Linked DNA regions of Cricetulus griseus. The protein of the gene in region 2 interacts with the protein of the main gene of each other region in a biochemical or structural test. Links are inferred from orthologs where the notes say so. Each region holds a gene or a part of one and is shown on either strand. Other genes may lie near its edges.

Evidence for each region.
Region 1: the proteins of Bmp7 (region 2) and Acvr1 form a complex in vitro, tested with the Homo sapiens proteins (2 studies listed by BioGRID). The link is inferred for Cricetulus griseus from reciprocal best matches to the Homo sapiens genes BMP7 and ACVR1.
Region 3: the proteins of Bmp7 (region 2) and Bmpr1a form a complex in vitro, tested with the Homo sapiens proteins (2 studies listed by BioGRID). The link is inferred for Cricetulus griseus from reciprocal best matches to the Homo sapiens genes BMP7 and BMPR1A.

Annotation. Positions count from the first base shown.
Region 1 is NC_048599.1:116,416,192-116,419,854, forward strand, and holds part of Acvr1 (activin receptor type-1), read left to right. Parts: intron 1-2,753; coding exon 2,754-2,951; intron 2,952-3,663. UniProt on the Homo sapiens protein: Bone morphogenetic protein (BMP) type I receptor that is involved in a wide variety of biological processes, including bone, heart, cartilage, nervous, and reproductive system development and regulation.
Region 2 is NC_048599.1:6,452,948-6,456,549, reverse strand, and holds the end of Bmp7 (bone morphogenetic protein 7), read right to left. Parts: intron 2,737-3,602; coding exon 2,626-2,736; intron 685-2,625; coding exon 535-684; downstream 1-534. UniProt on the Homo sapiens protein: Growth factor of the TGF-beta superfamily that plays important role in various biological processes, including embryogenesis, hematopoiesis, neurogenesis and skeletal morphogenesis.
Region 3 is NW_023276807.1:184,929,793-184,933,455, forward strand, and holds part of Bmpr1a (bone morphogenetic protein receptor type-1A), read left to right. Parts: intron 1-95; coding exon 96-258; intron 259-2,130; coding exon 2,131-2,233; intron 2,234-3,663. UniProt on the Homo sapiens protein: On ligand binding, forms a receptor complex consisting of two type II and two type I transmembrane serine/threonine kinases.

The sequences.
Region 1 (3,663 bases), about 110 Mb from region 2:
AAGGACTCAGTGAGGGCTGCTGTTATACTACAGTAGGGCAACTCTTGGCTTTGGTTTATGGGACTTGGTCAAGAAAGAGATGTCGGATTTTGTCCAGCTAATTAATGGTTAGCCACATTTCTTTTGGTATGAAGCCTTCCAATTAGGTACATTAGTTGTTGTAAAAACCCATGCTACTGAGTCACTGCAGGAGACCCATAATGTTGTGTAGGAAACAGCCCTTTTAAGGCTTTAGATTGCATTTATTTCTTCATGGTTTACCCTGAAATTAAGGATCACTCATCAGGAACAGTGTTCTGTTATCAGTGCTGCTCAAAGGACTGTATATGATTGATTTTTCTAACTTTTTATTATTAACAACACTTAAGCATATACATTTTTAATTAAATTTATCTTTTTAAAAATTAACTTCATTATTAAAAAATACTTGCAAATAAGTGAAAGCGTCACATAAAAGGTTTGAAGGAATATTATTTTTGTTTTGTCTTGTTTTGTTTTTTGAGACAGTGTTTCTTTGTGTAGCCCTGGCTGTCCTGTCCTGGAACTTGCTCTATAGACCAGGCTGGCCTCAAACTCAGAGATCTTTCTGCCTCTGCTTTCCAAGTGCTGGAATTAAAGGTGTGCACCACTACCACTCCCCTTGAAAGAATATTGTAATGACTCTTAGGTTCAAAATTAGAATTTTTATCACATTTTTCTTCTGTGCTTAAGTAGTTTTACTAATTTTGGGGTATGTGACAGATACCACAGCACTTTATTACTAAATATCTCAATTTGTTGTCCCATATCAAAATATATCTTCCAAGACCACAGTTTAATCTCATCTAAAAATCACTGAAGTCTAACCATGTCTCCCAGACTGGCCTGGAACCTCATTTAGCCTAGGCTGGATCTTCCTGCCTCAGCACCTGAATGCTGAATGTATTACAAGTGTGTGCCACCATCCTTGACTTTCCCAAGTAACAATTTAGTCAAGGTTTACAGGTTGCATTTTTTTTTTTTAAATTGTGATAATACTCTAGTGGGTAAAGGATTTTCTGTGAAGCTTATCACCTAACATCTTCTGGATGGTTTTTATTTCCTTCCTTCCTTCCTTCCTTCCTTCCTTCCTTCCTTCCTTCCTTCCTTCCTTTCTTCCTTCCTTCCTTCCTCCCTTCCTTCCTCCCTCTCTACCTCCTTCTTTCTTTCTTTCTTTCTTTCTTTCTTTCTTTCTTTCTTTCTTTCTTTCTTTCTTTCTTTCTTTCTTTCTGGTAGTGTCTTACTATTTAGGCCTAACTGACCTGGAACTCACTGGCCTTGAAACTTGTAGAAATTCTCCTGCCTCTGCCTTCCAAGTGCTAGGATTGCAGGTGTACACTGATAAAATGTTGCTCCAGGATCTAGTCATTGGAAGCCTTTGCTTTGGCCAAAGGAGCCAGTTCCAATATAGTTTGGTCACATGGCTCTTGGCAGCAAGCTTCAGTGCCTTGCATGTAGGTCTCTCCATGGGGCTATTTACTGGCCTTTAGCATACTGAATAAGTCAAAGAAAAACAATCAGGAAAAAAACTTTTGTTCTGTCTTTTGGACCCTCGTTCTAAAGATACACATGGTCACTTTTGTCATTATTAATCCAGCCCAAACTTCTGGACAAAACTAAAGCCAGCATCACAACTGGTGTGGCAGGTGTGTTTCAGCTGCACCTTCACGGCATGCTAATGGTTCAACTAGTGGTTCTAGGAATGGCAGAGGAGCACATATGATTTGGGGAATGCTCAAAATGGCCACAACAGAGAAAGAGGAGCCACTCTGCTTTAGATGAAGGCAGTTGCTAAAATCTTAGCTAATTGTGAAGGGTAAGATGGCGTGCTCTCTGGCCTTGTATGGAGTCATGTCTTCAAAGCTATGGGCCTGAAGAATTCACTCACTGCAGATAGCTGGAGGGATTTCCAAGGCATCTTAGGATTGCAAAGTTTCCCAGGGCATCTTGATCCTGTTTGGCACTTCTCATAATATTGAGTGTTATAGCAATCATTTTTAAGATGGTCTATTTATGCATCAATAAATAATTCCACCCTCAAATAAGCCGTGCACAAATCTGTCTTTCCCCAGTGGCTAGAAGGGAATGGCAGGTCTCTCTAATTGATGGAGGAATTCAGAAACAGAGCCATGGCTTAAGTGCTTTGGAACCATTTAACAAGAGAGATGCACTTTGAGTCAAGGTTCAGCTTATTGCCGTCTGTTCCCAGGATTTCAGGGGAAGGCCCATGGGCTCAGCCAGCCTGATTGCTCTGATAAGAGGCTGCCCCTTTGGGGATACACCAGAACCAGTCATAGTTTGCCCTTTGTGGAGCAATAAATTACCGAAGGTTTTTGGCCTCACACTGTCAAAATTTGTGTTTGGAGATAAGTGGGAGTAGTGATGGCGTTTGGGAGTTTACTTTGCTGATTTTTAAGCCACCTTGAGGTTTACCTAGAATGTGTATGAACCTGTTTTTCCATGGGCTTCAAATGTGGCCTCATAGTGCTTTAGTGTTTTGGTCTGCATTTACAAAAATCTATATCTCCTAGAGCTTCATATATTAACTTGATAGTCTCATAATCTTCCTGTTCTCACACCCAAAGTTACAATTAATCTGGGGACATCCAGGATATTCTAGATGTAACATCAGTGACATGTACCACCAGAGGGCGCTTTTGATTGGGGCTGTTTTAAGTTCTTGCAGCTGCCCAGTAGGAGAAAGGCTAATTACACTGTTGTCTTTTTCCTTTTAGGCCTAGCAGTCATGCATTCCCAGAGCACCAATCAGCTTGACGTGGGAAACAACCCCCGTGTGGGGACCAAGCGCTACATGGCTCCTGAAGTTCTAGATGAAACCATCCAAGTGGATTGCTTTGATTCTTACAAGAGGGTCGATATTTGGGCCTTTGGCCTTGTCCTGTGGGAAGTGGCCAGGCGGATGGTGAGCAATGGTAAGTGTGTGACATTGTCCTTGTCCGTGGTCTTTTGATGCAGTGTGGTCAAAAGGCATAGGGCAATCTGGAAGCCACATTGTTCCTCAAATCAAATCATACTTGCCTGACTTATGGTGGGTTAAGTGTGTAATGGCATTGTGTCTGAAATTCAAGAGAAAAAATGACAACCGAAGAGCTATTTTTGGAGCAGGGTAATGTTTTTCTTGGTTTTCGCTTGGGTCTCTCACTCTTTATTTCCTTTCCTTTTCTGGCTTTCTGTCTGTCTGTCCTCTCACTGTCCTTCCCTCTTTATTGCTCCATAAGCTAGATTTTACTTAAGAGGAGTGAGTGTTCAGCCCTTATGTAAGAACCTTGCTATTGAGGAATTCTTTTTCTTCTTATCACTGGATTATTGAGAGAAGTCTGCTTCCACATTTGGTAAGCATTCCTTATCAGAAGCATTCAGTACTTTCTCAAAATGAATCAGATTTAAGTTCAAGGACCATGGATGGGTGGCTTTTATTGATCTGTTTGATTTTATAAAATGGTTTTGTCTTAGCAGATAGGAAAGCATTTGCTTCCCTCCCTCCCTCCCTCCTTCTCTCCTTCCTTCCTTCCTTCCTTCCTTCCTTCCTTCCTTCCTTCCTTCCTTCCTTCCTTCTCTTTTCTCCTTACCTCCCTTCCTTCCTGCAGGGACTCATTATGCAGATCTGACCGCCTCTACTCCCAG
Region 2 (3,602 bases):
GTTTATGAAATCAGAATAAACCAAGGAACGGGGATAAATTGTTTAGGAAAATATATCTGTAACATCCTAACCATTTTCATTCATGGGTTTTATTGTGACATTTTATTACAGGGACTTCTGCTTAGTCTTCCTTCACCACAGACGTTAAACACCCACCCTGGCTATGCCCTTGCTCCTGCTGCAGCTGATGGCCTGGCTGAAGGACACTTGTGATTACCCCTCAAGGACTCAGAGCACCACAGAGACCATGTGGCCAACAGACTCTTTCTCGGAAGATATTTTTCCTGCTAGATGTTGCCTGTGGCAGCTTGTAGGATCTTGTGCGCAGTGTGCCAGAATTACAGACTGCTTGCCAGCCACTGGGCACTCGGGTTTCTAATGCCTTACGTATTTCCAGTGGGGGAGGTGAGGGGAAGGCTCAGGAAAGGTGACAGGTCTGTTCGCTCCTCGCCGAGGTGGGCAGTGAGAGACTAGATGTTGAGACGCCACAGATCTGGAACAACGTGGCCCAAAAGGTCAGGCTCTCAGAAGAGGCTAGTGGCAGCCACAGGCCCGGACCACCATGTTTCTGTACTTCTTCAGGATGACGTTGGAGCTGTCGTCAAAGTAGAGGACAGATATGGCGTTGAGCTGGGTGGGTGCGCAGCAAGGCTTAGGCACCGTGTCCGGGTTGATGAAATGAACCTGCAAGCCACCAACGGAAACCATGGTGAGAGGCGGCGAGGCCTTCTGCGGACTTCTATAGTTCTCTAAAGACCATCAACTGTCTGGCTAAGATGACTATAAATGACAGGTGAGCATGTCTCATGGCCCAACTCAGCCCACGACTGCCTCCACCATGCAGACGAGGGAACCAGCACACACAGTCTTCCTGCACACATCTGATGTGGTAGACACAGCTGGGGCTCCAAACTGAGCCTCCTCCCTGACTGCTGCACATTCAAAAAGCACTCTGTCTTAAGGGATGGGTTGTAGCTCAGTGTTAGGGTGCCTGCCTAGCACACACAAGGCCCTGGGTTCGATTCCCCAGCATCACAACAATTATAAAGACAGGGCTGTTTTTTGTTTTGTTTTGTTTTGTTTTATATATTTGAATCACAAACAAGTTTGAATTACATGACGATCCCAGTTCAAGACAGGGCTGTTTTGCTCACATGTACCTCTGCACCCCACAGAGCAGGAGTCAGACAAGGGAAAACTCAAATGCCTTGCAGATTCCATGTGAGTACCTTTGACGAGCCAAGTGAACCTGGAGGAGGCAGCAGGGAGGAGTGGGGACTGGAGCAAACTGAAGGGAGAGGCCACTCCTGCAAGCTGACCCAGCCCAGCTGGCCAGTCCATGCCATTAAGGATTCATGACCCCATGCCAGACAGGCCAGAGATTCAGTTCTCATGTGTTACCAGGTTGTTTGAGATAGAAGCTCTTACATCCCAGGGCTGGCCTTGAACTTGCTATGTAGCTCTCACCTCCCGAGGGCTGGGTTGAAATGACAGGCCTGAACCACCACACCCAGTTCATTCAGTGAACCCCAGCGCTTTGTGCATGCCAGGCAAGCGGTCTACCACCTGAGCCCAACCCCAGTTCCTGATTTGTTATTAATGGGCAGCTTCTGGGTATTGAGCAAACCAGGAATGGCAAACAAATATATCTCAGCAGCTGGCTTGGCTCTCGGCTCACGGCCTCCAGGCTGTGACCTCTGAGGTGGCTCCTTCCATCTCTTCTGATGGACAGTATCAAACCCTTCCACACCTCTACCCTCCCCAACTTGCTCCTCTTTGAATAAGTGTAACAAAGTCCTCGGTGTGTCGGCTCATTTCCACTGCATCTCACTAGGATGCCCCAAGAAGGTTTTACCCCTGGTCCACATGACCACAGAGGCCTCCTCCCTCCAGCACCGGACACTTTCATGCACCCTGAGGTAAAATGCTAACAGAAGCAGCTGTGCCCCTAGGCCTCTAAGGCCATGGTAAAGGGTGCCTGGAAGAGCCCTGAAGGCAACAGGACACAGCACCGTCCGCGTGCTCAGAGCAGGTCAGATAAGCCACACTGGCGGCGCACCAGGTTCCGACAGCTCATTCCATCCCTGGCTGCAGACTCCATCCCAAATGCAGTTTTGGAGTTTATGGTCCAGGGAACGGGAAAGTTTTGGAAAACCAGTACTTAAAGATAGCCCTTGCTAGCCGGATGGTGGTGGCGGCGCACACCTTTAATTCAGCACTTGGGAGGCAGAGGCAGGTAGATCTCTGAGTTCAAGGCCAGCCTGGTCTATAGAGTGAGCTCCAGGACAGCAAGGGCTACACAGAGAAACCCTGTCTTGGGGTGGGAACGGGATAAAGATAGATATCCCTTGCTGCCTGGTTTGGGGTGCAGGCCTATAATTCCAGCTTTTCAGAGTCTGAGGCAGGAAGATCACAAATCATAACACAGTATGGCATGCTGACACCACATATAAATTCATCTTTATACCACTATATGCCTAAAACATTTTTTTCCAGCCTTTTATACAGCAGGTACCCACAAGAGTCATGACACACTTGGACAGACAGCTGCTCAGGTTCTGGGTAAAGGCAGTAGAAGTCACTCACACTCCCCATAGGCCACCCCTCCCCCCAAGAGGCACCCACCAGTGTCTGGACGATGGCATGGTTGGTGGCGTTCATGTAGGAGTTGAGAGGGAAGGCACACTCCCCTTCACAGTAGTAGGCAGCATAGCCTTCAGGTGCAATGATCCAGTCCTGCAAAGAGAGGAGGGTGAGGCCAGGTCCTAGCCAGACTCTGCAGAGAGCCCAGGGCAGTGTCCCACCCCTGTGTGTCCCACCTTGTGTGGAGTCCTTCCTCATGGACAGGGGACACAGGCTCAGGCTATGCCCTTCTGAGTTATGGGGTCCCTTCAGGGGCAGGAAAGGGAGCGTGGTTTTTGTGAGCCCAGCAGAAGGGAAAGAGAAGCGACTTGAGGCTTGGAGGGGACACCCTTGTGCTATGTCTCCTGGACCAGAGGTGCAATAGCAGCAGGGAGTGACCCATAGATCAGAGGCCATGGCTAGAACCACCCCTGTCCTGCTAGGGATGGCGTTGCCTCAGCTCCATCCCAGGTGAGTCCACCTCACAGCCCAGACCTTGCACCCACTGGGTAAGAACAGCTACAAATAAAACCCAAATGATACTGTAAACAGTTAAAACAGTTTAATTTTTTTGCACCTTCTTTATATGTATGAACTTTGTAGATGGCAACATTTTGTTCCCATTATCAAGCCAGGGCATGTCTGTCAGTCTAAACCAGGCCTCCCTGCTGGTGCACCTTCTTGAGCAAGAGGCTAGTGACCCTCTGTGGCTCAGGTCATCCAGGCAGGGTGTTCTCTGAGCTCTGGAAATGTACTATCCTGCTGCAGGAGCACCTGGCAAGCACGCTAGAGAAACAGCATGTGCAGAACCCTCACTTCCACCACAATCGCCTGCTTGCTTGGCTCAGAAACAAACACCCAATCTGAGTCACAGAACAGGATGGAGGAAGGGAGGAGGAAGCTGGCCCTCCAGGGCTCTATTTGAACACATGGTCATATGTGGGAGAAGCAGCCAGCTAAGGGATGGGACTAGGGTGTGC
Region 3 (3,663 bases), on a different chromosome or scaffold from region 2:
TTATGAAAAGGAAACTCAGAAGCTTTCTTTATTAAAGACTGTAATTAAACAAGTTTTCAAGAATGTTTGTTTACAAATTTCATTTTTTAATATAGGGCAGAATCTAGACAGTATGCTCCATGGTACTGGTATGAAATCAGACTTGGACCAGAAGAAGCCAGAAAATGGAGTGACTTTAGCCCCGGAGGATACTTTGCCTTTCTTAAAGTGTTACTGCTCAGGCCACTGCCCAGATGATGCTATTAATAACACATGCATGTAAGTATTTGCTTCAGTCCTTAAGAGTTAGGAGAATAAAAGCACACTCGGACAAGTGCCCCCCCCCCCTTAGTATATGGTATCTTTCCAAAGAAAGAAAGGATTCTTGCCTTGAATATAGAAATATTGTTATCTATCATTAAACAGTTGTGACACTTTTGTTATTTCTCTGTGGACTTCTGGTTCACATCTGCTTTATATATGACTTTGCATTTCCTACTTAGTCATCAAGACTAAGACACCCTCTCTCCCTTGCTGAGACAGGGTTTCTCTGTGTAACAGCTCTGGCTGTACTCTGTACACCAGGCTGGCCTCAAACTTAACAGAGATCCACCTGCCTCTGCCTCCCGAGTGCTGGGATCAAAGGGTGCCCCAACACTGCCTGGCTAACTTCCTACTTAGTTTTATGTTAACCATTCAATCCACTCACAGATGGTCATGAAACTTGAATTTTCAAACATGTATGTATTGTGTGTGTACATGATATGTATGTAGATGTACATGAAGAGATCAGAGGACAACTTACAGAAGTCTCATCTCTCTTCTACTATGTGGGTTCCAAGAATGGAGCTCAGATTGTCAGTCTAGAAAGCAAGCACTTCTACACCATCAGTCATTCTGTGGCCCATAGACCATATCTTGGGGCACATTTGAAGAATTGACTTTCTGGACCAAACAACAACAAAAAATGAAACCAAAACAAAACAAAAACAAAAACTGTGCAATTCAGTCTCATCAGTCAATTAATTATCTTTGTTTTAGAAGTGATAATAAAGGCCAAGTTTTATAGTTCCCTAACATTCTGTGTTCTTTGAATAGACTAAATACAATGTCTAGAACTTCATCTATGAAATTATATTATTTATCCTTCCTACATTAGCTTAGGGAAAAGCTCAAGGACACTGACATTAAAGTGATAAAACTTCATGAAGCTAAATATATTTTTGTAAATTTCTTTAAAATGAAGCTATTCAGACTGTCTCTCTGCTTTCCTGTCTCATTCATTACAAAGTACCTTTCAGAAGCTTAGTGATCTGTTCTTCCCAAATATACTTTCATGTGTCATTGAGGTCTGCTGAATGTTTCGCAGAAAAGCTTGTTTTCATCTCTTACCTTGTATATATAGTATGTGATCATGAGTGTGGTTAGCAGAGCAATTCCGAGCAGCATGCACATGGAACATTTATTTAGCAAAACTCCTTTTCTATTTGACATAGAGTTCTTATTGGCCCTTTAGGCCTTAGTTCAAGAATACTACCTTTGATTTAGCTTAAATCTATATTGGTTTTGGTAATCATATGAGAAGTCAATTTTTTTTTTTTTCTCCCCAAGACAGAGTTTCTCTGGGTAGCTTTGGAGCCTATCCTGGCACTCGCTCTGGAGACCAGGCTGGCCTCGAACTCACAGAGATCCGCCTGCCTCTGCCTCCCGAGTGCTGGGATTAAAGGCATGCACCACCAATACCCGGCAAGAATTCAATTTAATGTGGGAAAAAAACCCAAGTTACCAAAGGCCATTTCAATTCACATATCTTCAGTTCTTTTGTATGTCTTTTTAAATTTTTTAGATTTTTTTTAGTGGAGTGTGTGTGTATTGTGCACACATCAATTTGCCAGAATCAGTTCTTTCCACCATTTGGGTACTAGAAATCAAACTTAGGTCTTCAGGCTTGGTGACAGGGCTCTTAACCATTGAGCCATCTCTCTGGCCTTCCTTATCAGACAAAGTCTCTCTGTTTAGCTCAGGGTGACCTGTAATGCAAGATCCTCCTGCTTTAGCCTCCTGAATGCTAGTATTCTGGATGTGTGCTGCCATACTCTATTCTGTTTAATATGAAATTGTATTGTGTTTTTGTTTTTTTCTCTATTGTAGAACTAATGGGCATTGCTTTGCCATTATAGAAGAAGATGATCAGGGAGAAACCACATTAGCTTCTGGGTGTATGAAGTATGAAGGCTCTGATTTTCAATGCAAGGTAAGATCTAATTTGTGACCATGAAATAAAGAAGCGTAGAACTTCGAGAACAGAGCTGAGTCCCCTAGCAAAAGTGAATTGCTCTTCACACTACTTGGGTCACAAAAACATTTTCTGAAGAAAGCCTTGGCTTGTCAAGTAATAGGATTTTACTAACTGAAGTTCGATTGCTTTACTTTAAGAAAGTTTTTAATCATCACAGATTGTGGTTAATGCAAAAACAAAAACGGTAGTCACATTTATTTCTGGAATGCAAAGTTTACTGAAAAGACTTTAAGATAATGGATAGTAACTTTTAACCCCCCCCCCCCAAGACAGCAATGTTAAATCCTTGTTTCAGAATGAGGTGATTGGAATAAAATGTTCCCCATAGTCTTAGGCATTTGAATACCTACAGTTAAACACTGAGCTGAACTCCTAAAATCCAGTTGCAAAGAGGGAGGAATGATGAGCAAAGCAGTCAAGATCAGGCTGGAGAAACTCACAGAAACATTTGACCTGAACAAGGGGGAGCTTATGGACCCCAGACTGATAGCTGGGAAACCCCCTGAATGTGGGTGTCAGTTAGAAGGCCTGGTCAATCTATAGGGCCTCTGGCAGTGGATCAGTATTTATCCCTAGTATACGAATGGACTCTAGGAGCCCATTCCACATAGAGGGATACTCTCTCAGCCTAGGCCCTTGCTCCAAATGATATGACAGACTTTGAAGACCTCCCCCCATGGAAGGCCTCACCCTCCCTCGGGAGCAGAAAGGGCTGCAATAGTGGGTTGGTGGGGGGAAAGCAGGGGAGGAGAAGAGGGAGAGGAAACTGAGATTGACATGTAATATTTTTCAGATTTTAAAAATTATTTAAAAAATAAGATTATAAAGCCTTGCCCAGTGGTGGTGGCACACGACTTTAATCCCAGCACTCAGGATACAGAAGCATGTGTATCTCTTGAGTTTGAGGCCAGCCTGGTCTACAGAGTTCCAGGACAGCCAGGGTTGTCACATAGAGACACTGTGTCTCCAAAAAAACAAAACAAACAAACAAAAAGTATAAAACCTCATCTCTGAGTTTGAGACCAGCCTGATGTACAGAGTAAGTTCCAAGACAGCCAAAGCTACACAAAGAAACCCTGTCTTAAAAAAAACAAAAGAGTATAAAACCCCACTTACTGCTACTTTGCTTTCTGCTTGCCATTTGAGATGTGGGCCCTTAGCCTCTGCTCCTGATACCATGTCTGCTCTGCCATCATGGACTCTTAACTCGTTAGACCTACTAACCCAGATGAACTCGTTGCAACTTACAAGTTGCTTTGGTCATGGTGTTTGATTACAGAAGTAGAAGAGAACTAATACAGTGTTTCTGTGCAGCTACTTGAAAAGAGCCCCAGAGAGAATTCCTTCATTTTTCTAGATTGTACATGTGAATTTCTTAGGAGATC